Linked DNA regions of Cricetulus griseus. The protein of the gene in region 2 interacts with the protein of the main gene of each other region in a pairwise test. Links are inferred from orthologs where the notes say so. Each region holds a gene or a part of one and is shown on either strand. Other genes may lie near its edges.

Evidence for each region.
Region 1: the proteins of Vim (region 2) and Ess2 interact in a two-hybrid assay, tested with the Homo sapiens proteins (2 studies listed by BioGRID and IntAct). The link is inferred for Cricetulus griseus from reciprocal best matches to the Homo sapiens genes VIM and ESS2.
Region 3: the proteins of Vim (region 2) and Kiaa0408 interact in binary tests that used the Homo sapiens proteins (3 or more experiments, as listed by UniProt). The link is inferred for Cricetulus griseus from reciprocal best matches to the Homo sapiens genes VIM and KIAA0408.
Region 4: the proteins of Vim (region 2) and Yae1 interact in a two-hybrid assay, tested with the Homo sapiens proteins (2 studies listed by BioGRID and IntAct). The link is inferred for Cricetulus griseus from reciprocal best matches to the Homo sapiens genes VIM and YAE1.

What each region holds. Positions count from the first base shown.
Region 1 is NC_048597.1:71,377,777-71,386,360, reverse strand, and holds the start of Ess2 (splicing factor ESS-2 homolog), read right to left. Parts: upstream 4,981-8,584; 5' UTR 4,949-4,980; coding exon 4,814-4,948; intron 3,791-4,813; coding exon 3,622-3,790; intron 3,537-3,621; coding exon 3,441-3,536; intron 1,541-3,440; coding exon 1,371-1,540; intron 1,259-1,370; coding exon 1,141-1,258; intron 840-1,140; coding exon 706-839; intron 1-705. Other genes in the region: Gsc2 (homeobox protein goosecoid-2), read right to left, coding at 8,236-8,337. UniProt on the Homo sapiens protein: May be involved in pre-mRNA splicing.
Region 2 is NC_048596.1:218,976,400-218,983,348, forward strand, and holds the end of Vim (vimentin), read right to left. Parts: intron 6,943-6,949; coding exon 6,882-6,942; intron 4,470-6,881; coding exon 4,374-4,469; intron 4,285-4,373; coding exon 4,123-4,284; intron 3,717-4,122; coding exon 3,591-3,716; intron 3,042-3,590; coding exon 2,821-3,041; intron 2,398-2,820; coding exon 2,354-2,397; intron 1,553-2,353; coding exon 1,467-1,552; intron 725-1,466; coding exon 683-724; 3' UTR 367-682; downstream 1-366. UniProt on the Homo sapiens protein: Vimentins are class-III intermediate filaments found in various non-epithelial cells, especially mesenchymal cells. Vimentin is attached to the nucleus, endoplasmic reticulum, and mitochondria, either laterally or terminally.
Region 3 is NC_048595.1:247,805,581-247,814,049, reverse strand, and holds the start of Kiaa0408 (uncharacterized protein KIAA0408 homolog), read right to left. Parts: upstream 4,374-8,469; 5' UTR 4,307-4,373; coding exon 4,133-4,306; intron 447-4,132; coding exon 102-446; intron 4-101; coding exon 1-3.
Region 4 is NC_048596.1:240,632,719-240,641,119, forward strand, and holds the start of Yae1 (protein YAE1 homolog), read right to left. Parts: upstream 4,817-8,401; 5' UTR 4,765-4,816; coding exon 4,639-4,764; intron 3,227-4,638; coding exon 3,105-3,226; intron 1,400-3,104; coding exon 970-1,399; 3' UTR 1-969. UniProt on the Homo sapiens protein: The complex LTO1:YAE1 functions as a target specific adapter that probably recruits apo-ABCE1 to the cytosolic iron-sulfur protein assembly (CIA) complex machinery. May be required for biogenesis of the large ribosomal subunit and initiation of translation.

The DNA.
Region 1 (8,584 bases), on a different chromosome or scaffold from region 2:
GAGACAGACCAGTGTTAGGGGTTCTCCACAGCTGACTGATAGCAGGTACAGAGGGACATGTAGGAAACACTTCCCCTTGGAATAGAGCTTGGGCTCTAGGACTGGCAGATCCCTTTGGGAAAGACAGGGAACCCTATCCTCATCTTGCCCCAAAGACTTTGAAGGTTAATAGTAGTAGTCATCAAGCAAGGGGTGCCCCTTTCCTCCACCTAAGGAGGAATCTCTTAGGTTGCAATGCTACGAAGGGCTGGTGCTGTCTTTTTCCCTTGAGGCATCTGAATCTCCCAATCTCTCCTGCCTCTCCTTCCCCAACCCCATGACGACCAGAGCCACTCTCTGAGGGCACTCAGTCATCTTAATCCCAGGCTCCCTCTGGCACTTCCCAGTACACACTGCTCTATTCATCTCTCTGCCTGGTAGATAGGTATGGGTCTGGGTTGGCTTCCAGAAGCTTCTCTTCTCCCAGGCCAACATCATAGCGGCTGGTACAGGAGTGGACCTTTAGGTCATATATCTGGCTCCATTGGAAGGGGCTAAAAAGAGACATGGGTCCTAGCACACAGAGGCTGTGTTAGTTTTGCACTTAAGCTCTATCTAGCCTCAGGACAATCCTAACAAAGGGAACAACCAAGATGGGAGAGGCCACACCTATGCACAGTTAGCCTATCACATTTGTCCAGTTGTCTGGTAGCTCTGCTGACTTACCTGGGCATTCAGGGCAGCTGCCTGCTGAAGCTGGGACCTGCTCAGGGCCTGACTGAAAGGGTCCCGGAGGAAACGTGTATTCTTATGCACTACCTGCCGTGGCTTCTTGAACAACTGCTCTTCATCAGGGACACCTATCAAAGGAAAAGCAAGGTAGCAGCCATCACAGGGGTGGGAAGTTCCATGCCCACCTCAGCCCTGCATCCTCAGCTAAGTCACTCCCAGCCAAAGACCACACCTATAGAATCCAAACACAGAAGTGGGGGAGGCCTCATTGCCCCACAAATGCCACAGGCTCCCCAACCCCGAGATGGACCAGGACTTCTCTTTGGTCCATGCTGCAAGTGAACAACTTTAAAAGTTGGTTAAAAAATAACAAGACAGACCACTGTAGTCCCTGTCTTCCTGTCCTGCCACTCATTTCTATTCACTTACCCTCAGGATAGTACATGAGAGAATTCTTGGCTTTATACTTCCAGGTCTCCACTCCAGCCTGACTGCTCTCAATGGCTTGGTGCTCTGCCGATGGGAGTTCAAGATTATCTTTCTGCCGCTATAGTGACATGGGAGGAAAGTGGGGTCAGGAAGTCACCCAGACCCTGTACCTGTGGCTCTGGGACTTCATCCCCCAAAAAGGTGCCTATATTTTCAAACTGCAGGGTTACCTTCTCAAATTCCTCCTCAGCTTGGTAGAGCCACGCATGGCGGGCATGGCTTTTTTCCTTGGCTACTTCCATGATCTCTTGGAAGGAGGCATTGTCTTCACTTGTGTAGCGGCTCAAGAAGACATCCAGGCTGGGCAGCGGCTCCTTCTCCTCCTCATCTCTAGCCTCTCCTGCTCAGGAGCCACAGGTAGGGAAACACAATACACATATAGCACAATTACCACTGCATTGCCAGTCTTGGGAACCACACCACAAAGAGCTGGAACCCTGGCTCCTGCTAGGTGACACAACAAACCCCAACTGTTCAGGCAGCCCCAGGTGGCATCCACAGCTGACTGGCCAGTTCCACTCATCTGCTGGATGCCAAGAGAAGTCTGTGATCTGGCTGACTGGTGAAGGGGCAGGGACAAACAATGAAGCAAGAGCTCATGATAACTGTTTAGTAGGCTCTTCCTCTGCCCAAACTGTACTAACCCTGTGGTACGGATCTCTGAAGCCCCAAGGGTTCTTCTTTCCTTCCTGGGATTGTCTTACCCTAACTACCTTTTCCTTTCTGACTGATGCTACAGGTAAGTGATGGTCACTAAGCATCAGGGTATGCCAGTTAATCCCAAAGGCAGGGGCCCATATGGCCCAATGCTCCAGGGAAGGCTACAGACTCTGGGCCACAAAAGCCAACCATACCACCTCAATCCCTGCCACCAAAGCAAGTGATATTCCTGTAGAGGTAGCAATGAAAATCTGGGTGGTAGGGGGGATGTGAAGCTGAGGGTTCTCATCTGTTCTACTGACAGTCTTGACCATCTGTGTGCCAGCCAGTACTAACCACAATGGCTACAAGTTTAAGACCTGAGGTTAGAAAGGGGATAGACTTGGGTCCCATTCAACTGTTGACTATTCCTAACACCTACAGAAGTCACAGCCTTTTGAAGCCTGTTTCCTTATCTGTAATTACAAAGATTCCAATGTTTACTGATAAAAATGTGTCTAAAAAGAGCATCTTCAAATTGCTCTGTGACTCTATACTGTATTTCAATTAAGAGACAAGATCCAACAATAACCATTACCATGTTCATGGCAGAAAAAGATGGGCTGTTGAGAAACTAAGCTTGTGTGAGCATGTTGCACATTTGCCCTAGTACAGTGTGCTGTAGACTAGAGCCTGGTAGAGAAACAGCTTGCCCACCTCTAGGAATACATCCTATTACTGAGAAAAAGATCAACTGACCGAGAAAAGTCCCATAAGTATGCAGCACACTCACATATTCAATAGATTTATAAAGTGTGGCTCCTAACTTTAAAACATGCCCCATACTTATGTCTGATGCTCAGGAAACATGAGCACTTTCATCTGTTCTCCATGTCTGTTGATGGTACAGCACACCATGTGCTATTCCAAACGTGGTGCAAACAGATAGAAGCAAAACCAAGACCCGGCTCTCTGAGAGGGCATCAAAATCAGTAATTAGGGTGAGAGGCAATAAGCAGAAATGCTTTCTGAGATGTTACATTCTGCAGTAAAGCACAAAGCTGGCAGTGTGGGAAACAGTGAGACTCTGGTCTCAACAAAACAAATCAGAAAAAACAAAGGCAGTCTGTGAAGCACAGAGCCCCAGGGTGTTCCAACTTTACACAAAAGGTCAGGAAACCTCAACATCCACCAAGTTTATGCCTCTTAGCCCAAACAGGTAACACCTGAATATGGACCTGAAGGAAGAGACACAACAAGCAACTACCTTGGAAGAAAGGAAGAAGGGGCCTGAGGCATCTTCAGGAGTCAGCAATGAAAGAGCTTTCCAGGCCCACAAAGCCTACAAGGCAAAGGCTGGCACACTGAACAGGCTGGTGACAGGAGATGGGCTCTCATTCCAGAGACAGGCCAGAGGCACAGACTACTGCTCTTCCACAACTGGGAGCTAGACAGATCTAGCTTTCCACACCAGTGTCTTTGATCCCAAAAGTTGATATTTAGGTTGGGAGACCCCTCAAGGATGAAATGTGATCCTGAGAAAACTCAATATGACTCCTAAGCACTCTTGACCATGAGACCAAAAGAGTGAGTTCACTCACCATCATCTAGGTCCCGGCCTTGGGGACGGAGCTTGCTGCCCACCACACCAGAGCCTGTGTGTACCTCAGGAGTTTCAAAGGTGGCCGGAGTAACATCTGAGGGAAGCAAATTAGAAATTAGAGGGAGTCTACAGAGACAACAAACTTCCCTTCTCTGCCTTCTAGAACAGCAACCTCTTACAGGGTGGTGGAGGTTCCCGAGAAATCTTGCCCAGAGCAGAGCCAAACTTGATAGCAATCTGGCGCATACGCTCCAAATCTCCATTTTCCTCAGCCTCCAGGTATTCCTTCTGTGCCTGTAGCTTCTCCACATCAGGGAAGAAATCTCTCTGGATGACTGTCTGGAGTCCCTGCCACAAGCAATCAGAACAAAAGGTCAGAGCTGGCATATGGGAGTCATGACACCATTATCCACTTTAGGCCCTAAGGTCCTTTTCACTTCTGCCTATCTGGATGATTGAGATTTTCAAGATAGTTCAGAAGCATTTTCTAGTACTGTTTTTCAAGACAGGGGTTTCTCTGGAATGCTTTGGAGCCTGTCAAGGAACTGGCTCTGTAGGCCAGCTGGCTTCAAACTCACAGAGATCTGCCCGCCACTGCCTCCCGAGGAGTGCTGGGATTAAAGGTGTGTGCCACCAACAACGCCCGGCTCGGAACAACCTCTTGATGCCCATAAATCCTTTCTTGTTCTCCTTTGCTGGTTCCATCTGCAGCAGCAGCCAGACTAATGTAGATGTTGCCTTTCTCATTCTACCTATGTATTTTTATTTCAATCCAAACCTTTCTCTTGAAAGCCAGTCACCACTACTGCCACCACCGGATAAAATTCTCAAGATTTCACCTCCGGCCAGACCTTGCTGTAGAGCTACAAATCTGTATACCTAGCTACGTGGCGATGATACATTCCAGCCTATCCCAGAAGCGTCCTAAATTCAACCGGTCTAAAGCCAGACCTATGTCAGTTTGCCCTCCAGCATACTTTGCAGTGGGACCCCTAACTCGAGGAGCAACCGAGACCCTCACTCAATAATACGGCCAGTACCGAGGTCTATCTCCAGGACCCCCCAGCCTTTACACTTAATGCCGCTGCCTTCCAGAAAGTCCTTTTCTCCATCACCCTAAAAACCTGTCAAAATTCTGCTCATACTTTAATAGGAAACTTTATTTCCTAGGCCCTCGACAGACAACGAGACCGCTCCTCCTTTTCGCTGAAAACTCGACACCCCCTTCCGCACTGTCGTCTTGGCTCTCAAGACTTTCCAATCCCACAGGCGGCTGAGAGTTCCAGTACCAGAAAACATTTAAAGGACCGGAGAGGAACGCGAATCGGGGAAAGGGCCCAGAAGTCGCCAGAGCTCGCACTGAGCTGGTACCTCGATGTACTCTTCTTCATCCAGAACCCGTTGCCTGCTTCTCGCAACCCCGGTTTCCCCAGCCGCACGCTTCCTCGGAGGGACAGACGCCGAGGGCGGAAACAGAGGACCCACAGAGGCCCCGGGCGTCCCCATCGCTATCCCAGAACCGCTCAGGCGCCGTTGGCGTCACACCAACAGCCAGCCAATGGAGAAGCAGTATTTTTGTAACAAAGCCGGCGCTCCCAAATGATGTCACCCGGAGCGCCGGATCTTAAGGGAGTTGTAGTCTTAGATACCCATCCGCGTTGCTCGTGCCTGTCTAGACTATGGTCACTAGGAGGCGCTGTGGGATGCCTACTTGACGCCACATTTCCTCTATTAGAAGTTCCAATTTTTCCTCAACAAAAACCAAAGTCGTTTTTAAATAGTTAAAAAAAAAAACAACTTGGTTATATATGAAGTCAAAACTCAGAAAAAGAAACACTAAGACAAGTCTTCCCAGAGAGTTGTCTAACAAAAGGTAAATGAAAAGAAGGAACAAGAGGGCGCTTAAAGCTCTGGTTAGATTTATTAGTTCCCTGCCTGCCAGGGTGGGCTTCCCAAAAGAGGCCTGTACTCACTGAAAGTATTCATGGTACTTCCATTCTAAGGGAGATCGTGAATTATGCCAAACCAGTTCTAGCCCAGAATGACTTGCCACAATTTTGCTTTTCCAATGATCTCTTCCTTCATTGGAAGTCAACTGGGGGCATTATGGCTATGTTCCTGCCCCAATGGAGTTGACCATAATAAACACACACACACACACACACACACACACACACACACACACACACAGAGTCATCCTGCATGTGTGTGAAATCATGCCTGTGACTTGCAAGAAGTCTGTACTCAAGAGAATCTTGATTTCTACATAGCACATGTCATGTTGTGTTTTCCCAGGCAGAAGGTGATTGTAGATCCAAAACATGAACGGATAGGCATCAGCCAAGTGGAACTGGAAAGGCACGTGCAAAAGCCCAAGAGTGGCATGGAGCAAGGCAAATTCCCAAGCAGACCTTTGCTCACACCATTCAGTGAAGAAGGACATGATGGCAGAGGGGCAGAGCCAGTCTACCAGTGTCATTGGGGTCCTGGCAAGAAATACCATTTTTATTTTGAATTAAAGGGAAGCCAGAGCGGGTTCAGGTGAACATAACTAGAGAAAGCTGCAATGGTCTTGGTGCAAGGTGATGGCAGTTTTCCCCAGGTTAGTGTAGCTGAAGCTGCAGAGAAGCTGCTTTCTGGGGTTTATTGATATATTTAGAGGTGAAATTGGATGAACTTGGTGTGACAGAGGGCAATTGGTGATCAAGAACTGTGATTCATGTCCTTAAACAAGGCCAATGAACGGAGGACTGGCTCACCAAATACAAAGCGAATGTGAGGAGGCGGTGGCTTTCCAAGTGTTGCCTGACAACCCCTGGGGACAGACTGACAGGGTATGGACATACTTAGCTCAGGGGAGAGGCCTGAACTGGAGATGGAAATATATGTGACATAGAGATGGGAATTACAATCTAAGGGTGGAAAAGATACATCAAGAAGAGAACCGAAGGTGGTGGAGAGATAGCTCATTCTTTAAAAGCACTCTTGCTCTTCCACAGGATCTGGGTTCAGTTCTCAGTACCTACATGATGGCACACAGTTCTAGTTCCAGGGGTTCCAATACCTTCTTCTGATTTCCACCAGCACCAGGCAAACATGTGGTACACATACATGCATGCAGGCAACACACACACACACACACACACACACACACACACACACACACACACCATGCACACAAAGACACACTCACACATTCACACACTCACAAACACACTCAAACACATGCAAGCACACACACAAATAAACACACGCACGATGTTTTTAAAGAAGAGAATGAAGATGGGAGAGGCCTTGAGATGGAACTTCTGGACACTTGTCAATGTCAGGTGTCAGGTGAGGAGTGTGAGGAGCCTCTGCAGGGCACGGTGACGATGAGAGGAGGGCAGAAGCTCAGCCAAGCTCAGATTCTGGAGAACCAAGGAGGACAGGGTCCCCAGTCTGCAGGTGAGCTGACCTGGACAGCTGTGTCTGAAACTAGACAGTGAAATCTTCTAAGGCAAGGCCAAAATTCAGGAGGAACAGTCTGGTGGCAGCCGTAAGTATGCATCCCAGGGACTGGGAGGAAAGTCCCTATCCTGGAGGTCTCCAGCAGTGTTAGGACAGCTCTGGCTGGGGATATATGCCTGTTTGGTGTTCTCTAAATTAGCCATCTTTATATAGTACCAAGACCTCCTGCCATTGGCTCTATAGTTTAGCTTTTGTGAATGGACCAAGTCTCTCGCAGACACCACAGCAAGCTTCAAGACCTGTGAGGGGACAGAGCAAGGAGATCAGGCAGGTGTAGGGGGTGTTAGCTGCCTCCAGCCCACTGCACAAGTCAGCAGGGAATGGAAGCCATCTTTCATGCTTAGTATACCCCACACACTTCTGTGGGGCCTGGATTACAGAGGGGAAGACAGACATTTCCTAACATAGTGGGGATGGATGTTCCCTGAATTTAATCTCTTCACCACCCTATTGGCAGATACTACTGTATGAAAACCTCCAGGGAAAAAAAAAGCCAAACATCTCCCATTTGTGAAGCAGGTTGGTAGTACCTGGAGGCCATAGCAAATCCCAGGAGGCCTGCCACCATCTTCTGGCTTTAATTCTGATGGGGAAACACGGTACTGGGACTGAGGACTTGTTGAGCTGTGTTCTCTAAGACATGTTGATCCCCAGTTCCCTGGGAATGGGGAAGGGAGACAGCTCCTAAATAGCTGTGGAAATGGAGCCTGAGACATGGCACTTTTGATTCTGGACTGTTTATGGTATTTGTAGATCTCGTTTATTTCTTGGTATTGGCACAAGGCTGAGATGAAGGAGCAGGTGCAGGGACCTGGAAAATACCAACTATAGCCTTCTTATTCTACTGCTCCTGATACCATGGTCCAGTACAGAACCTTTGAGGACAGAGTAATCCCAGGACTGTGCAGATACCACTGCCCTGCTTAGAAGGTGGAAGAATACATAAGGGGCCAGTCTTGGAGGCAGGCATGAGGTGGCGAGGTAGCCTCCACTATAAAAGACTTTGGGTCCTGGATGGAGTTAGGAGGTCTCTCTAGGTGGTAATGGTGCTTGAGGAAGTTGCTCTATGCCTGCCCTTTACCTGCAGAGGTCCTGCCCCATGTGTCTCCCTTCATAGGGGAGGAGGTCTTGGATCCCGTCTGTCCCAACACCTGGCAGCTGAACACTGCAAGAGAGTGATGGAAGGGGCTTCTGTCCTCTAAGTTTCTGTCCAAGTAGGTCTGCCCCTTCCTACTTTGCTGGGCTCCACGTCACTGCCGAAGTCAGGAGAACTCTGGACACCATCAACAGCTCTCCTTGGGAGGTTTCTTGGTTCCAGGCAGGAGCCTCAACGATGAAGCACGCTTTTGATGTCGCCACTTGGCCCGGCGATTCTTGAACCAGACCTGAGGAGGAGGGGGACCAGGAAGGCTCAGGCTCCACAGACCCACACCCAAAGAATTTCAAAAGGGCTGATAGGCGGGCCAGGTGGTAGACTTCACCACAGAAATGTACGCGAATGGACCTTCGTCACCTCCTCCTATCCACACACAGAAAAGGATCAAAGAGTCCCCACATGGAGATTTCCTAGTCTCCCCAGTAGCAATCAGGATATCTCTCCTTGTCTCCAGTCTCTCTTTAAGTCACACATAA
Region 2 (6,949 bases):
TGTGTGTGTGTGTGTGTGTGTGTGTGTGTGTGTGTGTGTGTGTGCTCGCGTGCGCGCGCGCGCGCTCAGGAACGCTCATATGCTTGAGTGCTCGAACACACACAAACACGAATGCAGTCACTACAGATTAAACCCAGGACCTGTTCATGTAAGCACATCTCTACTGATAAGTCATACACTCACCCCAAATTCAAAGAATAAACAATTGAAAAGAAGTGATCTCTCTTGTAAAAGGCTAACTTAAAAACTGTATTGCAAGCATAAAAAAATTGAACCTATAACTTAAATCCCAAGTATGATCTCAGTAAATTAGCCAATAGAACTAAAGATATTTGTTTAGATATTATAAAATAACACATCAAAGGAGTATTTCTGAAGATTTATTGAAGCAGTAACAAGTTGGTCAGGTATTTACTGGAAAAAAAGCAGTTTTAATGGTATTCAAAAATACTTTAAAAAGTATTCTAGCACAAGATTTCTTCGTAAACTAGATTGTGTTGTAAACCTTTTCTAAATCTTTTAGGGTGTCAGTTGTTAGAAACTAGAGCTTATTTCTATCCCAAATCTATCTTGCGCTCCTGAAAAACTGCAGTAAAGGCACTTGAAAGCTGTTTCCTTAAGATACAAATTTCTTTTTTTCTTCTTGCTGGTACTGCGTTGTTGCACGGAGTGTGTGCAATTTTTATTCAAGGTCATCGTGATGCTGAGAGGTTTCATTGATCACCTGCTCAAAAAGGAAATAAATCAAATCAGGTAAGGAGACACAGCCCTAAATAGAATTTGTTGAGCAGGCTGGGGGTTAATGCTGACTCTTCACAGCAGGATTTAAAGAGAGATGCATTGGCAAGGAGACCTCCTGCAGGCAATAGAGGTGTCCAATGAAAGGGTGTGACATATAAAAGAATACTTGAAAACTGTGTTTAGGAAGTTTGCTGTAGCAATCCCAGGCACAAAGCTCAAAAGCAACTAAAACGTGTTAAAATCTATTCAATAAAATGCTTTCATAATTATGATTAGTTGTAACCATTTCTTGCCTGGCATGGAGAGGTAACAAGACACTGATTGACCATATGCCAGTCCTTGTACTATATAAACAGGTGACAGGAGAGAGAACTGTATGCCCAAGTCAAACCATCCTTGATATTAACTGATGTCATTAGGTGAAGTCCTTTAATAAAGTTCATCTAAAAAGTACCTGAAAGGTGTTTTATTCCCATTTCAAGTTACAGACTTCAGAGAGCAGGAAGATTATTGTTACATCCAAGGACCAAATAATCAGTTGTTTTTATATTGGTGGAATCAGAGCCTATATTTCCAGTAGGCATGGGGACCTCTCAAGTTAGCTGCCTGCATCTGGTATATATGATTGCTGATTTAAAGGCGATTGAGGCATATTTGAAATGGCCCTATATTTATTCACTATCCTTTCTTTTACCCTGTCCATATTTTATCTAAAAGATACCAACCTGTCCATCTCTGGTTTCCACCGTCTTAATCAGGAGTGTTCTTTTTGAGTGGGTGTCAACCAGAGGGAGTGACTCCAGATTAGTCTCTGAATTAAAAAAAGCAGGTAAAAATGAAAAATTTTAAACGTTGCCATTTTGTCCAAAGCATTGTGAGTTTATATTTGCAGTTGTTTAAAGTGCTACTTGTACATAATCTTTCAAAGCACCATCTGTTTGAAGACACAGTACCTAAGGCCTCCTTCACTCAGGCTGAGATAGTAGCTCTCTGTGTACGCCATTAGCAGGAAGCAATCTGGAATCCACACTTAACTTAGAGCGTGGAATTCAAAAGTATATTTGGTTTGAAACTTAGGGTATTAGTCTAGGAGTATAGCTCAGTGGGAAAGCACCTGCTTAGCTCTAGGCTCTGGGTCTGATCTTCAACAGTAATGTAAACTATAATTTAAAAAGGAAATTGGTCCAATACCAAATGGTCGGGCCTGAAAACATATTCAAACAAATAACATTAAAAGGACTGAGGCATTGTATTCGTATATTTAGGGATACATAGTTATCTAGCTAGGTGGTAAAATAGGTATATGTATGTATATATAACAGCAATTAAACAAAAAGAAGCCATGAATCTAAAAGACAGCCATGTGTGTCAGGGGATGGTACATAGGAGGGTGTGGAGGAATGAAAGGGGGGGATGGATGTAATTATATCATATCCTCAATAAATTAGAAAATAAAATGAACATATTCATATAAGGCTTATAGAAAAAGGAAACCACAGATGTTTCATAGACTTTTCTCATATAGCACTGTTGAGGTATTACTAAAATGTGGATGCTCTGCTACATGATGATTGGCTACAGCTTTTTCCATAAAAGGAAATGACACACTTACCTCTCAGGTTCAGTGAAGAAAAGTTGGGAAGAGGCAGAGAAATCCTACAAAAAGCAAAGAAACATTTTTTTTTTTTTTTAATGAAGCACTTCAACAAGAAGAAACAAGTTCCCACACTTGTAGTTTTCGTCCACTAGGAAATCTGTAGCTGTTAGAGATCTGATTCAGAAACATCTACCCATAGCTGGTCTCATTAGCACATTTTGAATACTGTACGAATTTTCTTCACAGGAACATGAGCTAGAGGAATTACAGAGGGGAAAGTATTGACTTTGGCATGGAGGTGGGTTCAAATCCCAGCTCTGCTGTTAATTAACTCTGACCACAGCAAGTTATTCTCTTTCAACCTTAAGTTTCTCATCTATGGAAAATGCAGGTAGAAATGGTGTCAAGGTTAAATGAGATGCACCTAGGGAGACTGTGATGACGTAATTCACAGGCACAAGTGCAAAGTCTGCCTTCCCTACCTGCTCTCCTCGCCTTCCAGCAGCTTCCTGTAGGTGGCAATCTCAATGTCAAGAGCCATCTTAACATTGAGCAGGTCTTGGTATTCACGAAGGTGACGAGCCATCTCTTCCTTCATGTTCTGAATCTCATCCTGCAGGCGGCCAATAGTGTCCTGGTAGTTAGCAGCTTCAAGGGCAAAATTCTCTTCCATCTCACGCATCTGGCGTTCCAGGGACTCATTCTGTGGGAAGGCAGAAGGGCTTCTGATGTGATTTCCCAACCCCAGCTATTCCCATTTGCAAACCATGTGCACTAGTTCTCTTAATAGCAGGTGCCTACTAGCTTCAAACAGAGAACACAGGCACTGAGTCCCATGTCTTGTTTTGTTGAGATAAAATTTCTATGTGGAGCCTACTGTAACCTTGAGCTTATAATCCTTTTGCCTCCTTCTCCAGAGTGCTGTGGTTACAGAAGTGTACTCTTGTGCCCACTCTAAAAATCTCTCTTATTACAATCAATAACATATGTCAGCTAAGACTTTCAAGATATCCATCAACTAATTCTTAAAACTGTCTTGATAATTCATTATATTATCTCATATGTATAATATACATTACAATGTTATATTAATATTATATAATATTGATATTATATAAACTAATATATATGCATATATATATATACAAATATATGTGCATTTGATTTGTTTGTACAGGTATCACTGTTAACCTAGTCAACAGAGTAGGCCGAGCTCACCATTCTCTCCCTTTTGCTGCTGGGTGGTACTCACAGTTCCTTTAAGTGCATCCACTTCGCAGGTAAGTGACTGCACCTGTCTCCGGTACTCATTTGACTCCTGCTTTGCCTGGCGCAGAGCATCATTGTTCCGGTTGGCAGCCTCAGAGAGGTCAGCAAACTGTCAGGAAGAAATCAGAAATGGAGTTTGCTCACTTCCTAGACTTTTCACTCTCTTAGAAGAGTGATCTTCATTCTGACTCTGTGTTTCCTAGAATATGTCTAAATGTCTGTTTGGAAAAGCCAGGGAAGAGTGAACACTGATGCTATTTTCAAACAGCATTTACTCCACTGCAATTCTTAACAAGTGTTAGAGGTCAACAGCTTGGCAGTGAGGTGTTCTTTGAAGTAGAGTAGAAGACAATGAGTGGAAAGGGTGTCTGTCTGCCATACTACAAGAAGCATAGAGAGTGACAAGGATACTGTAACAATAAAATCGGCTACAGAGAGCTGGGGGTACTGATGGAATCGAGGCAGGTGTTTTGAGAGTGGAGGCTTTCCTATCATTTACTTGGGCTCATTCATACCTTGGACTTGTACCATTCCTCTGCCTCCTGGAGGTTCTTGGCAGCCACACTTTCATACTGCTGGCGGACATCGCGCAGGGCAGCAGTGAGGTCAGGCTTAGAAACATCCACATCAATCTGGACATGCTGCTCCTGAATCTGGGCCTGTAGCTCCTGGATCTCCTGAGGAAAGCACAGACAGAGAGGAGTCAGATGTGGACAACCCAGGTGCAGCTTAGCCTTGTTCGCTGGCTGAAAGGGACCTCACTTACTTCATCATGCAGTTTCTTCAAAAAGGCAATCTCTTCTTGCAAGGATTCCACTTTACGTTCAAGGTCAAGACGTGCCAGAGAGGCATTGTCAACATCCTGTTTCGAAAAAAGAAAAGATGACAAGGGCGTGTTAAAATCTATATTTCATCTTATCTGTTTATATTAAATATTTTTCATTCTATTTTATGTATGTGGGTATTTTGCGTGCATGTATTTAAGTACACTGTGTGTGTGTGTGTGTGTGTGTGTGTGTGTGTGTGTGTGTGTGTGTGTGTGTGTGTGTGTGTGTAGTGCCCATGAAAGACAGAAGAGGGCATCAGATCCCCTGGAACCAGAGTTTACAGAGAAACTCTATGGGTGATGGGAATTGAACTCTAGGTCCCCTAGAAGAGTAGCCAGTGCTCTTAACCATTGACCTATCTCTACAGACCCTTATTTATTTATTCAAAACTAACTATATGAACCCATCCTCATTACTATAGAGAAGGTACTGAAAATTTCATGATCCTTGATAGATTTATAAATTATTTAGTGTAACATTCCAATACACATCCTTAGCTATAAAAATGAATTGAAAGCCATTTTGTCATATTGAAGGTAGCTAGTTGACAATTTAAGAATAAATGCATATGTATGCACATGACACGGTATGACAAACTCTATTGAGTCCACATTTCTGCATACAAAATTTCATCATCAGTTTGAAGCCTGAAAATCAGTATCACAGCATTTAATTTTTAAAAATTTTGTGATGATAGTAGTCTATCAGATTTTACTACTCCATGTCTGCCTGAGTACATATAATAAAAATGTAAGCTTCAGAAAATACACATTTTTAAAAGTGTGGTGTGGGGGGACTGAAGAAATGGCTTATTCAGTAATAGTATGCTGGTGTCTTAGAGGACCTGAGTTTGGTTCCTAGCACCCACAACCAGCAGCTCACAAAGGCTTCTAATTCTGGCTCCCAGGGATCAGATGCCCTCTTCTGGCCTCATGTCATGCTCATTGGGCAAAAAGGAAAATATATGATGTAATCCTGAACTGTATTGGTTTTGCCTTCTCTGATTTTTTTTTAAATGCCCCTTGACTCATCCTATAGGATATTTCTATCTTTCTCAGCCATCATTGTATCAATTCAGTGACATCAACTATTCCAGGATGGTGGAACAAAACACAATGAAACTATATGTAAACTCCTTTACAGAGTTTATAAAGTGATCTATAAGCTTTCCACTAAGTCCTAAACAAAAACAAAAACAAAAAAAGATATAAATGATGTCAGACCAATCTTTTGAAAAAAATTCAGTGAAATGTGACTTCTTTATTTAAGGGAATGAAACAGTTTAATTTAGTCCATAAATAAGAAATGTTGAATATTCACCCAATGCCTTACAGAAAACATTTCTTGGGTGATGACCATATACCCCCAGTGACAAAAAAAAGTAACCAAATATTCTTGTACTGCTGTTGAGTATGCAAATATCTCTCACCTTCATAATGTCACCCTAGAGAGTTTTGTAGCTGATCCTAATGAATGTTCCCAAGGATAAGACTGTACTGGCCATCTTTCTGCTTTGGTATGCTGTTAACACCTAACTTTGAAGCAAAAACAAACAAAAATCCCTCCTTCGTATGAAACTCCATTCTTCAGTCTAGGATTTATCTTTAATTGTGGAGGGTGCTAACCAGTCTACAACTCCATAAGAGGAACCCTTTCCGGGAGGACTGTAGCTTTAAGAACTTTGTACACCACATACTTCACAAGCTTGAGCCAGACATTAGATAAGGGATGTTAGCAAATACTTGTGTCCAATTGGAACTGTGGTTACATCATTACATATTCAATAAGAATGTAGCCTGTTGCAAAGCTGCTCTGGGAACACAAAGGCTCCTATTATTTCTGTCCAGAGCCACCGCATTTGCCAGAATGTCGGTATCCACATTCCATAGTGAAGCCCATAGAAACTTTTAATACCCTTCAGCAGCGGGAACAGATGGCTTCCTTTCACCCTTGTTAGATTACAAAAATAGTTGTGCAACGACACTTCAGCTAACTTTCATGCAGTACCGAACTTCGAAGAAAGAAAGGGAACTTGGCTCAATTCCAGTTAAACTTTCTCATCCTCCAGAGTATTCTACATTTCAAACTTGAGGACGCAACTGTGCTTTGTGTGACCTTGTGAAAGTTAGCTGATTTGACTTTCACAAACGGCATTCTAATCAAACTGTAAGCGTTCAGAATCAGAAGGTCAACGTTTCAAAAAATGAAAGGGAAATATTTTGGGGGAACAGAAAAATCTGAATGTCCCCTCCCCGGGGGAAAAAAAAAAAACATAGAAAAACTTCATGTTGCAAGGATTGACCTAAACAGTGGAGTTTTTCAATATGTGGACTTTCTGCCACCAGGGGCTTTACAGGCAGACTTGAAGTTTTGCACCTTTAAATCCTGGGTGAAGTAACTTTTAGAACTGCGAGTGGTTTGGGTGGGTGGGGCTGTTGGCTACAAACCTGTCTGAAGGACTGCAGGGTGCTCTCGGCTTCCTCTCTCTGGAGCATCTCCTCCTGCAATCTGAAGC
Region 3 (8,469 bases), on a different chromosome or scaffold from region 2:
AGCCTTCACACCCATAACACATAAAAAGAGAGGCGTTGTTAGCACTCGGAAGTGCAAGCACTTCTTTAGAAACACTTCCTGGCTGATCTGGTCTTACTTACTGTGTTAAGGGCGACAGAACAATCTTTACTCTCCTCCTTAGAAGTCCTCATGCCAGCCTCCTCATGTGCCTCCTCTTCTGTGGCCAAAGGATTCAGAAACCCGACTTTGTTTCCTGTGGGCGTGTTTTGGTTTTTATAAGCTTGGTTTCCTTCTCTGAGGAAGTCCCTTTCTAGCTTGTTGTCCTTGTCCAGATCATCTCGGTGATTCATCACTCTAAATTCACATTGTCCTGAATTGGGGTGATTTGGAGGAAATTCCATTTTATCTTGATCACGATCAAGAGCAATGACCTTAGAATGTTCATTCATGTTCATTTTCCTCCTCAGCTTTACTTCCTGGCAAAGCTGTAGGAAATAAAAATTAAAAATTTACTTTTCCTAATTTTCTTGATCAATATATTTTCTCTTTCTCTTTTATGATCAATAAATTTTCATAAGCAGAGTTTTATTACATAGTCCTGATATGGAACCCATTGTGAAGACCGGAATGGCCTCATGCTCCCCAGTATCTACTTGCCTCTGACTTTGAATACTAGTAATAAAGGCATGTGCTACTATGCCTAACTTTGTTCAATATTCTTGGATACTAAGCAAATCATTTCAAGTCCTTTTTGCAATATTACTACATACTACCATGGGTATTAATGCTTGTGCATATAGATAGTGCCTCTAAAACAGGAATGAGATAGGACAGTTTTGGTGAACCGTAAAGACTAGTTTTAGTAGGGCAATGCATGGATACCACATTCTGTTTTTCTGATGAGAAATCAACTCATTAAAAAAATAAATTAAATCTGGATCTATACAGAATGCAGAAGCACAATCACAAAATTACACTGACCCAAATCAATCACTCTCTATTCTCTATAACCACTTTCTAATATAACAAAAGTTTAACATTAATAGTCATATATTTTAAACATACGATCTTATGTAACAACATAAGATCTAAACTGTCTAAATAGCTGACAATATCATATAGTAAATCAGCATATTCTTTCCTCTAAGTAATCCCTTATTAATCATTTCCTTGGTTGGTCAACTACTTTATCAAGGGGTAGATATTATAGTGATATTTTTAATGCCACAATGATACACATTCTTTTAACAAGTTGTTTTTACTCATATTAAAATGATTGCATCAATGTTCTACCTGATAAGCCAGAACTTTAAAAATTGGACTATCTATCGCCTCAGTAAAAGACAATCCCAAATTATTTCTTAAGGAGGCTGCCTTAGTGAAATCAGCAGATACTCCATCAGCTTACTCCCAAAGTGAAGAAGGAAGCAGTGTTTTCCTGAGATTTGCTTACATCTTGCAAAAGCCTATCATATTTCAAAACAGACCATCAAATAACTTTAAAGCAAATACCTTTATATTTCACTAAGGTAATAAATGTAATAACATACTCAATATTTATACATAATTCCAGTTGAGAGAGTATACATAACTAATACATTAAGGATACATGGTGCTTTTAGTTCCCCAATATTGATAAAGATTTTAATCACTCATTTCCAAACTACAGCAATAAATTGATTGTTTTGATGCCTACAAAATTAATTGTATTGAATTGTTCTTCAACATGAATGATATAAGGAACAACCCCCAAAGTCCCCTGTTAAATTTAAGGATATTGTTGGCAGTGTTTTCCCATTTTTAAGAATTCCTGAATAGACTTGGCATGGTGGCACTCACCTTTAATCCCAGCACTCAGGAGGCAGAGGCAGGAGAATCTCTGTGAGTTCGAGTCCAGCCAGGTCTACAAAGCAAGTTTCAGGACCATCAAGGCTGTTACACAGAGAAACCGTGTCTCAAAACAGAACAAAACAAAAAATTTCCTGAATTAAAAAGAAAATTGCTATATTTTTAGACCCAGGGGAAATTGTGCTATTCACAACTCATGGCTTTTCATTTTGCATGTTAACTATATTGGGTTCTAGAAAGACCCACTCCTGTGTATTATATACAATTCCTTTTCATGTATTCATCTAATCCTTCAGTTTTTGGTTTGGTATAATTTAACTTATATGTAATTTTATGCCATTATAGCTTCCCAAAACTCAACTTAGTTGAGAAATTAAAACAGCAGCAGCAAGAATTCTGCCCCCCACCCCCTGAAACTAGTACTAGTACACTGTAACAAATGGAAAACTTTTTCTTTGGTATAGGAAATTTTTCCTGTTCAATAGCTGAATGACCAAATGACACAAGCAGAAAAGACTGCAAGGGAACAAAAAAATTTCAAGATTTCTATCAGCTAAGTTATACATGATCATAGTTCATAGGGAATTATTCCAGGTTTCAAATTGTCTGAGTACATATGCCTTGGATTTTCAATAGCAATTGTAATGAATGCGGAGAGGGACTCAGCAGAGATACAGGACCATCTTCATACTGGATGCTTTCACTCAATTGTATTATTACTTAAAATCACCAATGTTACAGATGCACACTCTGGAGTCTGCGTCTTTCTAGCACATGGCTCAATATCCTGAAAGAATTTAATACTAGAGCCTAGTAACTTTAAACACACGTACTGTACTTGTTAAACAACATATTTGCTAAAGAAAAAATACTTCACTATGTTTGAACCATACAATTTCCAAGCACCCCCCTTGTGGTTTTCTCAGTATTTTTATCTTAGCTTTGTACACTGTAGTCCATATGTATATAACCAGAAGAAGACACACAGTGCTGGCATTGAGATATTACCTATGGGCAGTATATGTAGCACATTTTTATAAATATACTCTCAACTATGCTGTTTTAATCACAGGTAGGAAAGCCCTTGGATAAGGGAAGTGAAGGACGCTAGTACAATATGTTTTTCAAATGTAGTAGTAAAAGTAGATTTATTTTGGAATCATTAATCACAGATGTCTCACCTTTATTATTCCCTAGAGGAAGGATTTAATACCCCCATCCTTTATTTTCCATTATGGCATACCACTTGTGTATTTTACTCACAACCTATTTGTTTTCTGTTAATCAGAAAGAAGCATGGTTGCACTGTAAACATACAAAGCACTTACTTTGCTTGTCTGCTAAAGAAAAAAAATAAGGCCCGGGAATCTGTTAAATAACTGTCTTGTTAAGTTGAAGAAACCAAAAAATTCAATATTATTTATTGAATGAAATATAGCAAAATTAATATACATAAATTTCAGTTGGAGCAAGCTCGAAGGCACACTAAAGTAAATGTCTGAAGGAACATTTCATGCAAAAGTCGAGGATGACTAGGGGGTGATTAATGAGAATAAAATTATTGACTGTGTCAGAGCCATGATATGTCATTTAAAAAATTCATTTCCTATTAACACATTGCCAGAATAAATCTGATGTCCTCTACCATTTTTCTGTCTGACATATGACATACATTTGATGCTTCTGAGTTATTTGACAATATTTGGTATACATTAGTCATTTCTAAGAAAGGAGATGGTATATGATTATCAAATTATAATCTTGATACTGTATGCCCCACCAATTATTTATTTCTTGCATTTTCATTCTAGGCTGTAGTAGCTGAGGAGTCATACAGAACATATACATTACTTTTGGTACCATAAACCTGAAATCAGAGAATACTAAATTGATACATTGTAGAGCATCAGTTCTCAACCTGTGGGTTGTGACCCCTTTGGGCTCACATATAAGTTAGTATACATGTAAGATATTTATACTATGATTCATAACAGCAGCAAAATTACAGTTACAAAGCAGCAACAAAATAATTTTATGGTTGGGTGGGCTCACCACAATATGAGGAGCTGTATTAAAAGGTCACAGCATTAGCGAGGCTGAGAACCATTTCAAGGTCTGTATTTTCATGTAAGACTATAAAATAAATGCACTCTCAGAGACACCACTAGGTGTGGTTATGCTGGTTTTGATCTAGCGTCATAAGACGTTTATTTCTTTGGTGGAAGAAGAGAAATGAAAGTAGTCCCCAATAGAAAATGAATGTCAGCAGGATTTTCACATTTAGCTTGGAGTTTACAGCATCTTTAAACAAATCAACTCATACCTCTTCAATCTTCTGCTGCATGACCTTCCACTGACTTTCCCATTCTTTTCTTTCATTATCAAACTGGTCCAGTAATTCCATTTTTTCCTTATGCCAGTTGGTCTCTGTGTTCTCCCACTGCTTATGCAGGTCCATGGCAACTGTGTGAGTGTCAGCCAAAGGGTTTCTGCTCATCTCTGCCTTCTCTCAGCTGTTTCTTGGAAGTGTGGAAGTGTTTGGTTTGAAGTGGTCTCACTTGCCTTTTAAAATAAAGCCTGAGATAAACATAAGAAGACAGAGTCCCAAGTTCACGCGCTTTGTGGAAATATTTTGTTAAGACCCAATGACATAATTAACTATAGAAAACTAAACAGGAAAGAAGCAAGATCCTCCCCAGGTCAAGTGGAAGGACTGTACCAAGACCCAAAGTAGGTCATCTCAGAAGACTAGTGTCTTAACTACAAACCATGCAAATATTAAAATGAAAAAAGATCATTATTTTCCTTTCTTAAGTCAAATCTCAAGTATTATCATTATTCTGTGAGACACATCTTAAAACTTACTCATGGCCTCTCTTCTTTCACCTGGACTATACACGTCTTGAATAATAACTATAGGAAACTGAAGAGAAGTTTTCTTATGCTACACTAAGTAGTGACCAAAATGACTTGATTTCTAACATTCAGGATATTAATATTTCGGGCTTGATGAGACAATTTAAAATCTTGGACTTAGGGGCTAGAAAGATGGCTCAGACCTCACAACTGCATACTGCCCCTACAGAGGGGCCACATTTGGTTCTCAGCTCCCTTAGTGGGTGACTTACAACCACCTGTAACCCCAGTTTCAGGGAATCCAATATCTTTTTCTGAATTTTGTGGACACTTGCACTGACACGTGCACATATCCTATCCCCAAATATACACATAGTTAAAATTAACCTTTAAATACCAGATATATAATTCTGTTATAAGCTTTGATATTTTTTACACTAAAGTGAGGATATCCATAGCATTATTATGAACTTTAGATAGTATAATAAATACACAGTAATTTGAGAAATTAAAAAATACTTTGGACTTTAAAAATCTTGCTTTATCTGAAGAAAGTTTTTATCAATAAAATCATGTATCTTTGGAGTGAATAGAAAAGCTTATTGGTAATGCACCAATTTTATTTAAAATAACTGTGCCAATAAGAAACAGAGTTATGGGTAACTTGGCAGGCTCACATGATTAGCTTGTCAAGGGCCTGGGATGAACTCCAGCACATACATGTATGCAACAATGTGTGCATGTGCATCCACACACAAGAAAGAGAAGAAAACAAAAACCAAACAAAACCCAAACTCTGATGCTTCATTTTACTAATACATGGTCATAATGCTATACCATTTTCTGTTACTGATGCACGAATTTGCCAATAGTCAGTGTTGTGGTGTTCCTGGAAGAACTAAGTCTGTATGATTATGTAGCAAGAACAAGTTTGCACTCGCCAAAGACAGATGCATATTTCACACCCCATATATTATATGGCAATGAAAGATTAATTTTGTCAGGCCTTTCCAGTTAAGATAGGAATGAATTATTATAGACTAGAAGGAATTAGAAACATAACTCTGTATGCAGGCTCTGCTTCTTAAAAATAAAGAAACAAACAACAAAAAAAGTCTATTAATGGTAAGATCTATATTTTCTCAAAAACATTTGCCATAGTTTTTGCATATTTCCTTGGCACTCACAATATCATTACTGATTCAGTTAGCAAAAGTAAACAATTTCAAATTTAGTTACAAACATGCTCTCATGACCCCTCTGTAACGCTCTGTTTCTAACCTCATTTTCTTTCTCATTATTCCTGGTTTTCTTTTGCTACTCTCCCCACTTCTAAAGCCAAACCCTGAAGATCTAACACAATGAAGATAGTAGAGAATTTTACAGAATTTGGGTTCTTGTTTCGACGGACAGAATCTTTACTATTGTTGATGACCTAGTGATATTTTAGGTCCCCCTAAAACCCATTCCCAGGAAACACAGATGTTTGTTTGTGAGAATGGAAGACTGCTTCAAAGCTGTCTGTAACCAACTGTGAGCTGGCAGTGTCTCAGTGGCCATAAAGAATTGCCTCTGGGATGGCTTTGAAAAAGGGTCATGGTCTGAGACATCAGGAAGAAACTACAAATTTAACCAAGGACATGAGACAAAGGGGATGTGTTCTGACAACATAGTCAGAAAAAAGGTTTCATGATATTCCATGGTTTGTCCCAACTGTGTTTAAAATTGGAGCTATTCAGAAATCATCCTCACAAGCATTTACTAAAGTCATGTAACTATGGGTGTTAAGTGTTCTTTCGTTTTAATTCCTACTGAACCACAGACACCTCAGAGTTTAAAGATGTCAAGCCCTTCTATTTTCATCTACAGGAAGATCATCTAGTTTTGTCCCTAATAAGAGGAGTATGTCAGCCCAGGAAAGAGTTGTGAAGGCCTGAATCCTGAGCTCCTCTGCAGAGCATCATACTTGTCAGCTAGGGTTGAAGGACTGATCTTCACAGCCTCCCCTTTCCAAAACCAGAGGAAAGCCTAGTTAGGGAAAGGTGATGGCTACTGCTGAAAACCAATGATTTCCATATTAAAAAAGAAAGCGTTATCAAAAATGTTTATTTATAGCAATGTCTACCTTTTTGGGGGGATAGGAGATTTTCTTCACTTTGCTAGAATCTCTGTCTTGGATTCAATATATATAAATATCCACTGTAACACAGCAGGAGATACTGCACTATTCTCTAAAAACAAAGTGTGTGTGTGTGGTGGTGGGGGGCATGGAAACACTCTGACGTGTAAGCTATCAAATGAGAGAATTTGTACAGAGAATCTAAACACTACGCATGCATAATGAGTTCTTGATAAATGATGATTTTTTCCCGTTGTCTTTCATCTTCCCTCTTTCCTTCATCCTTTCCTTCATGAATCTCCATGTAACCCTTTCTGAAAGTAAGACTGGTTATTTTGAATTTTCCTTCTTTGGAATCAAGTCTAAATGTGTCAACTCTTATATTCCCTTTGATTGTGTCTTGCCTTAGTATTTTTCAACTTTCTTAAGGATGTATGAAATACATAAGGTGAGGTCAGAATGACTGGAGATAGGTTCTTAAGGAACAGCTGGAAGCCCTTTTTCCTCCCCCCGCTCCGTTCTCAGGCCCCACATTCTCCAGTGAAGCAGATATAAATGCTCTCTGTTCCTAGTTGTCACTCTTTCTCTCCCACAGATGCTGGCATCTATGTGGGAGAGGAGAAAGGATTTTTGCGTTCTGCATCCTCTTTCCCATATTTCCTTGCTCTCTGTTTCATTTCCGCTTTCCCAAATTTCATTCAGAATAGAAATTGATTAGAAGAAACTGGGAAGGACAGAGGTAGCTGCATTCGTTAGTCACACATGTGTCCCTCCCCCAGCAACCCTAATAAACTGCCATTGTGTAATCCCTTTTAACCTCCTTCTCCCCAAGGCCAGAAGCCAAGACTGTACATGATCTAGAGTGGCTTGCGCAAGGGTGGTGATGGGAGAGGCAAAATGGTTTAGCTCACGGTCGAGCCCCGCCAGGGAGCAAAATGTGACAACAGTTAGGGGTCTCACAGAGGAAAAAATGAGAAAACACAAGCTTTGATGAAAAACAACAACTTTTGGCTTGGAGAAGCAGAGATCTGAAAGTACTAACCTTGAGCAGGTAACTGCTGCCATTTCACCCCGTCCCTCCCATCTGCCTCAGTTTGGTCACGGCCACATGTCTTCACCTGGGGCATGCTCAGTTCTTTCTAGGTCACAGGTATGACCATTTCAAACTTCATCTTGTCCACTGAAAATTGGGGCTTAGCCAAGTAAACCATAGTGTTAGGAGAGGTTACCTACCACTTCCGTCTTAGGAGGACTCTGCTCTGAGGACTTGTTTTGTGCTCCCTTACTTTGCTTTTCTAAGCATGTCACTCATCAGAGAATTCAAGTTCTTCACTCACACGAGGATGCATCCTCCGGGAGGAATGTAGGAGTCAGCAGATACTGCCAACTGCACAATTCCTAGAAGAGATCATTTGGCCTGGGGATGCTTTGTTTCTGATGAATTTGGAGGGATTAGGAAACCCCGTGCCTGAACCTCAAAATACAGCATCACTTGTCTGCCAAGTTCCCTAGCTCACTTCCCAGGTTATTAAATCACTGATAGCGTACCAGGCAATTAAGGAATCCTATTCCTCTGGTGCTCTTCATCAGCAAATGCATCTATCCAGAGACCTCCCCATCTGACTTGGTTAGAAGATAAAATGAAAAGTGTCCATGCTGTTCATTGCTATTTCTGCCTACTCCTT
Region 4 (8,401 bases), about 22 Mb from region 2:
AATATTCTGTGCATTTTAAAGAGGGATCTAAGAAACCAGTAGATTATTTTCGCAGTCCCTTAGGTGTTCCTGCTAGTTTCTTACTAGGGCAGCATCTCTCAGCATAGCTAAATACTGGCCAAACAGCAACTGAAGCTGTCAGTATGGGACAATTACTTGGGTGCCTCTCAAGTCAGGCATTTCATATTAACTCCAGGTGGGGAAAAGTGATGAAAAATCCTTTCCTGATATCTAAGTCAAGGAACAAAAATCTGAATATGATCCTGCCTATGCTATATTACACTTTTCATGTTGAAGTAATATAAGTCAATGGGCTCAGTGTTTTATTCCAATGTAAATAACAAGGCTACAGTTCAGAAATAGTCTGTTTTGAGAAAACATGGCCAACTACTCACTACCTAGAAAACTAAGCAGTTCTTTATAGTTCAATATGAAATGTATTTTTTCTATTTTTCATAGAATTGAAGGTCTATAACCAATATGTAAATAAGGTCAATTTTAACACTTGGCTTTTAATTATTTAATCAATGATATAAATATTGTGTCAGTTTCTAAGGTCTCTTGATTTCAATGTATTGCTATTTACACAACTACTTTAAGCTATTTCTGGCAACTCTGGTTTGGTTGCTGGTGATGAGATCCTAAACCACCTGATACTGACAGAAGCAGAAAGTAGCATTAGATTTTTTTCCCCTTGATCTTGGGTTTTGCTAGTCTAAAAATGACTAGATTTTGATTAGAAACTTGAAAATGACAATGAGGATTTCTGAGCATATCTAAAGCTAAAAAATTACCAATAACAAAGACAAAGGCTTATATTCCATTTACTAATGTTAGCACAGAGCCCCTTATACTTCCACAAGGGGTAACTACATGTTAAATATTCAACCAATGGTTACCTTTTTTAGAAACACAATGCTCTAAGGAAAATTTGTGAGCACTACTTGCACTCCAAAAGGGGAGATAATTTTAGAGTTGTCTCAGGTGCTGTAATACGTCTACTGACACTCCCAGCTGTTTCACTAAACTAGCTGTCTGTTCCAGAATCCAAGTGAGGCTTGGCTTTTCTAAATGTTCATGCTCTTGTGTTCTGCAACATTCTGAATGTGAACAATCTGTCCGGATATGACTCTTGTCAGAGTTTTTGTTAAATTCAGCACTATTTTCACAGAGTCTTTCATCTTTAACTTCATCAATCTTTTTCTCAGCTGGAACTACATGACAAAGGTCCATATCCTCAATGGAGTCCAATAAATCTGTAACTTGGGGCTGTGGAGCGACTGACTTCAGACGTTTGAGCACACACTCTTCACACTGGCCAACTGCGTCCAGAAGATTATTGATTTTACTGACCAAAGTTGAACTATTACCATGAAGGTGACACCAGGAGAGCAAAGCACTGAATGAAAATATGAACAAGAGTTAAATAGGAAAAAAATTACATAGTCACAGGCATTTAGAATGCTAGGCCCTACACGTTGTCCTTCTACAAAACATCAGGCAGAAACAGATTAGTGATAATAATAATACATGTCCAAATTAGGAAAATAACAATGTAAATAACACTAAAGAATAAAGCATCTTTTAATACAAGCTACAAGAAGACTTAATTATATTAACTGCTTATAAATCATACCTCCTCCTTCATAGCTCTGTACCAATTTTTTTTCTTTTTTTTTTCCCCCAAGACAGAGTTTTTCTGTGTAGTTTTGGAGCCTTTCCAGGCACTCACTCTGTAGACCAGACTGACCTCGAACCAGAGATCCATCTGCCTCTGCCTTCCAAATGCTGGGATTAAAGTTGAGCACCACCATTGCCTGGCCCATTTTTTTTTTTTTTTCTATTTTCCTTGACTATGTAACTTCTATGCAATAAAATATAATTTACCTAAAGACCAGAAAAACCAGTCCCTCCTTTTTGTTCCTTTTAAGGCAGAAAACCTAGGCTTGCTAAACTATTAGAAGGACAAAACACTATCGGGAAGAGTATTTTAAAGACTTCATCCTGGGCTACTCATTGTCACAAAGTGTTGTCAATGGAATGTTTTCTTCTTTCTTGGCAGTACTCAATATTTAACTGAGACATCAGGCCTGTGAGGCAGCCCCAGGTTCTCCTTTAAGGACATTAAACAACTTCTAAACTGATCATTCTTAATCTTTGTCACAAATTAGAATCACTAACAGAGCTTTAATTTTCTCCAAAAGTGTTAAGAATTCTACTTCAAATACACTTAATTATATTTGTTACTTTTCTAGTAGACGACCCTTCCTCCCGGATTGTTTATACAATTTAAGAAAACAATGGATCTCTCTTTCTTTGGTGAGGATTGAGCCCAGGGCTGTGTGCATGCTGAGCGTACACTCTACCTCTGAGCTGCCCCCTCCCGGAAAATACTATACAAGTGAAATTGACTGCTGTGAAAGACGAAGCAGTATGCTTTCTAAGTCATAAACATGAAGTGGAGATGACCCCTTGGTCCCTTTCCTGGTGTAGTAAATTATATATTCTAGTTAATTTTCTAAAGGTCTCAACATAATTTAAAACAAACGATTCTTTTCTGTTTTAAAATTTGTGATTCTTTGTAGCAGTTTGTTTCTCTATAAAGGACAGTTGAAGCATTACCCACATCAAAGAGGCCCACTCCATTCTTAGTCACCATGTGTCATCTGAGCGTTTGACTACTCTCTAATATTATTGCTATGGCATTCTGACAGGCATTCAAAGTTCAGGGCTGAAACACATAGGACCTCTTTCCATTAGTAGTTGCAGCTTTCCCAATGGACTTCTAGCCTACAGGCCTGCCATACTACATGTGGGAGTACAAAGAGCCTTATTTGGAAGCTCATCAGTGATTAGTGCTAGTCCAAATGGCAAAAAAAAAAAAAAAAAAAAAAAAGACACCTTCCTACCATTTCTTTGCAAAAACAGGAAAAGCATCAGACACACACATATTAAAATGGATGAACTGACAACGATTTTATATGCTCTGAAGACTCATGTATTCAACATTAGGAAAAGCTTTTATTTTTACATATTACCTCCATTAAAAAAAATCCATTAGAGTTGTGGTTAAAAGGATTCATTACTTAAATTTTTAAAATTACCTCAATGTTCCTCTGAGTAATCCATAGTTTATAATGACTTCTGCACCTTCTTTATAACCTTGATTGAAGCCCTGTTGGAGAGTAACTGCTTTGCCAGCATCTATTCCATCTCTGTAACCTTCCTAAAAATCAGAAATTAGTTGTAACTGACTCCAAGTAAATCTTTTCCAGAAAAGCACAGGACCCCTTTTGAAAATAGATTTAGCAGGTTTTTACTATGTTAACTGAACATGATATGGCAGAGACTTAAATCCAAAGCAGAATGTTTCTTCTAAAACCCTCTTCCTGGCTTGTACTTCCTTATCACATGTTTTATTTTCTTAAACCTTGTTTCCAGCCTGGCCTGGAACTCATAATCCTACTGCCTCATTCTCCTAAGTGATGACAGGCCTGTGCTTCGATGCCACATCCTGAACTCACTTTGGAAATATAGGGTTACTGAATAAACATTGGACAACAGTTGTTATGTAATTTTTAATACCTGTTAGCAAGTTCTTCACAGAAATGGAAACCTACATGTCTGGTCTTGGTAATGGACTACAACAGGGTAGTTAATGAGGCTGGCAAGGCCGGGGAAGAGGAAACTATTTTTAGGAACAGATGAGAGGAAGTCTGATTTTAGAAATCTAATTCGAATGTGGCATAGAGATTTTTGTCCTCTTATAATTGGTCTAGCCCCAAATTCCTAAGGCATTTTTATAATGGCATAATGGTTGTTGGACTCAACAAATACTATTAAATTAGGGTAGATCGAAACTGCAGTTTTAAAAAGGCAATTAAATGGCTGATAAATATATTGGGTGACATGGTTTTACCTTTTACTTTAAAAATATTTATGTAACATATATTTACTTGGGGGGGGGTGTTTCATGCTCCAACTTGAATGTGAAGGTCAGAAGGAACCTATTTTGTCCCTCCAAGATGTGGGTTCCAGGGGTGGAACTGAGATCATTATACTCTGGAATCCACCTCTATTTGGACACAGATCTTATCAGTTGTCACCCAAAACTAAGCTGACCCTACCCTCGTATTATTAAACAAGTTTCAATGAATGGTGAGACGGATCCGGAATGAATGACACATTTCAAGGAAAAAGTGAAACAATATCCCCTTCTCTACCTTCCCGTCCTTTGACAATAGTTTTAAATTCACCTTTACAGAGTTTTAGTAACACCACACCCAACTTTGGACTCTCCACCCACTGAACAACATCTGTGAATGTGCGTTTTCTGCCAGCCGTTAGTCTAGTCGGTGTATATTTCTCCCCTTCGGCTCTTTTCCTCCCCAAACTGCAAACTCTTGAGGGACTGGATCAAGTTCACTTTAGTCGGTCAGTCCCCTGATCCAAATCCAGCCGGGGATCTCAAAGAACGAGCCTGTTTAAAGGTTACCAAGTAACCAACCTGGAAATCCTAAGACTGGGGCGGCCGTGGGGGTCACCGCAGCCGTCCCCCTCCGTCCAGGCTTGCCCCCGCGAGCCCCAAGCCCCGCGTGGGAGACCCATTCCCGCGCGTCCCGGTCCCTGGCCATTTACTTGGATTCGTCTCCTCATGTGTCCCTGCCATTCCCGCTGCACTAACAGAGTCTCGTCCGCTTCCTCGTCAAACACGTCCTGATCCCCAGAGCTGGGAATCTCGGGAACCGCTCGGACCCAAGACATCTCCGAGGAAGCCTTGGGTCCCGGACCACCGGAAGTGCCGGCAAGTGCTTCCGGCCAGGGGGCGGGGCGAAAGGGTAGGTGAAGGATGAAGGGGCGTGTGCGTCTGCTACAGCCCTGCGACTAGGGGCTGGGTGGGGCTGTCCTCCCACGCTTCTGGGTCCGGAGGCGGGGTGGGTGCTGGGAGCTAAGTCCCGCCATTCAAGGGCTGAGACTCAGTTTCTGCGAGTGCTGAAGGCGCTGGCCAGCAGCGTGCAGCCGAAGACATTGGACTATGAAAGGTGATTCTGCGGTCAGTTTGAGATGAAGTAAAACCAGCATCCATTGGCAGTTTCCCTCCCAGCCTTCCGCTCCGGCTCGGCTCTGAGAGTTCAGGAGTGTGGCTCAAGCATTAGCCGCTTCTAGCCGGAGTACGTGTTAAAGAACTGGACGCCAGCGTTCCTGTTTTGTCCTTTGTGTGAGAAAAATGAGTCATGTCATTGAATTTTTCTGAAAAGTTTTCTGGAGTACCTAGTTTACATCGTTTTAGGCCTTTGAGGGACAGCGCTCCATAGGAATAAAAGTTCTCGCCCTGAGTTCTCAGACCCTGTGGACTTCCTATTAGTGTAGAAATGGCAGTTGACTAAGAATAATATATAAATAACCCAAAATTTAAAATGTAAATGCACTACTGTGGGAGAAGAGAAGATAGGTTACGATTTTTGTGCTGGGGATTGAGCCCCAAACCTTGTAAATGTGGAAGGAGTGTTGTGTCAGTAAGCTATTCCCCTGCAGCCCAAAGTTACTATTGTACATTTTCAGAGTTTGTATCCCGTAAATCTATATATAAAACCAAATATAAAATGTGTTAAGGTGTATGCATATATAGGTATTAATTAGAAAAAATGGTAGTGATTGAAATGAATAAAATAGAAAACTGGAAACTAATGCTTGTGAGTTGGTTCAGTAAACACTTGCCATCAAGCCTGAGGAACTGCGATCAATCACCATGATGGAAGGAGAAAACCAACTTCTGAAAGCTATTTTAAAACCAAACATTCTAATACAATGCAGTCTGAAGATATACTGATTGATACTTTTATAGAAATACAACACTGAGAAATGGTGGTAGGGAATATTAAAGGTTGTTGTATTTCTATAAAAGTTTTCTACAGTATGTATAGTAGAAACACTTCAGTATCTAGTATGCAATAGTCTTGGCTCTGATCCTAGGTGTTGGAGGCAGTGTTTAGTGGCACTGTGTAGCTTGATGGCAAGTGCATTACACAGTGTGCTTGCCGTGTGTTCAGGTCAAGGCTGCAGTGAAGCTGAACAATACAGCATAAGTCAAATGCTGCCAGAAACACCTTTGACTCCTTTTGGTTTTGAATTTTGGATTGTTTTCTGTTCAGAGACCTCTCACTGTTGCCCAAGTTTTCATGACTCTCATCTTCAATTATATGACCTCCTGATTCAAGAAGGTGTGTGTGTGTGTGTGTGTGTGTGTGTGTGTGTGTGTGTGTGTGTGTGTGTGTGTGAATGCACATGCATCTATGCAGCATATCTGTATGCAGTGTGTATGCAGGTATATGTGTACATATGTGTGCAAGGGTGTGGATGCTGGGGGTTAATATCTGATGGCTTCCTTACTCATTCTCCACCTTATCTTTTAAGACATGGTTTCTCACTGAACTAGACAATCGTGAATGGGGTAGGCTGTCTGGCCAGTGAACACCAGGGATCTGTCCCACTGCCACTAGAGCTACCACACCAATGCCAAATATGTGAAATAGCAATTCAGAGTCAGGTCTAAATATAAGGGTATTTATTTAGGAGGATCCTACTCATCACAACAGCCTAGCCAGCCAGCAGGGAGCAAGGTAAGTAGAAGAAGGGGCCCCATGTGCTTGCTTGCCTGTCCCTCACTCTTAAGCTTTCCTCCCATCACCCTGACCATGCCCAAAAGGGTGTGGCCAGGCACACCTGTAACCAGCCCCAAGCAGGTGTGGTTACAGTGTCCCCTACACCACACCTTTTTATGTGGTTGCTATGGAGGTGAACTCGGCCTCAAGCTTATGCAGCAGGCACTTTATCAACTGACCCATCTCCCCAGCTCCTGTAGTATTTTAAAGGTTCCATGTGTATTCTGGACATAAGACCTAAGTCAGATGCATGTATGCAGATGTAGTCTTTGCTCTAATTATATCCACTGAGAGGCAGAGTTAGGAACACAATGCATGTGAAAGAGACCAAGGAGAGCAAGTATATGCAGGCAAAGTAAGCTTTCAGAAAGTGATGCTGATCAACTTCTGTGACAAGGGAGGCAGAACCAGCGTCCTGGGCTGGCGTGTGTATTTCATGATGTCTTAGCTAATGTATGAAGAGCTCTACAACAAAGAACAAGGGAAGTCATACATTTGGGTCACACGGACATGTCATGCTCCCTTGTCAGCTTAGTTATGCCTGGAGAATGTCCTGGAACCGTGTGGCCTTGGCTAGGAAACCACAGCATATCCCATAAATACTCACACCTTCAATAGCCAGATGATCTTTCAATGTCCTCTCATGTGTATTATTCTATTTTCCAAAATTGCATCCCCACTCTTTAAAAGAAGAAAAAAAACCTCATAAATAACTATGACACCCTTGCATAAATTTTGATGTCATGATGTGAACTTACTCTGGAGGATTTAAGAACTGTATCTTGCAACTCAGTATGTCTCATATAAACATACTCTAATAGGGTCAGCCTTTAAGATTCACCACATTTTTCTCCCCAGTCGCCTGCTTGTCATTCATCTTTGTCTTTACTTTCAAAGGCTCCAACAATTCTTCTTTATGTCTTTCTATTTCTCATCTCCTGCTGACTTCCATTTTTTATCTTGGTTTTCCACACTCTATTTGTGCTCTTGCAAGGTGCTCTTTGGTAGTTGACATAATAAACTCCAAGAGGGCACAAACCTTTCTTAGAGTCTCCCCAGTATCTGGCATGGACACTTAATCATTCAGCCTTGGTAACTAGGCAGCAGAAGATTTCTTTAAACCAAGGAAATTTGGTTTCTTGCTTGTTTCTCCTGAACTTTGGCAAATACTGTCTTTAGTGTTCAGCAATAGATTCCCGGGTACCACACTGAATTGCTTTTATCAAGGTGTCACTAAGGTTATGTAATATGTATTAGAAAAATTGATATGAGTGGCAAAAATAGGTGGGAGATCATTAGAAATGCAGCAGAAATGGAGCGAGGGCTTGATGGTAAGGCTAATATGGGGACTATAGGCAGTTGCCTCCTTTAATTTTGTCTCTAGAAAACTCAAGCAAGCAGGAAAAGTACTTTAAAATCCAGTACAAAGTGCTTGTTGACTACCGAAAAGGACGAAGGAGGAATGCCAGACAGGAAGCCTAATTTATCTTTCTAATGGCCTATTGATGGGCAGTATATAGAAGCATGCTCAGGTTTGTCTCATCTTTCAAAGATCTCTGATTACCTCCAGGCTGTTTCGTAGCTATTTCTCTACATTTCTCTTTCCCTTTACAACTAAGCCTCTTGAAAGAGTCTCTGCAGCCCTTCTCACTTTTTAAGTCATTGGAATCTGGCTTCCAACCCCTCTATACTATTGAAATAAATGGGGTCTGGAGGTGGAGGGTGTGGCATGAAAAACA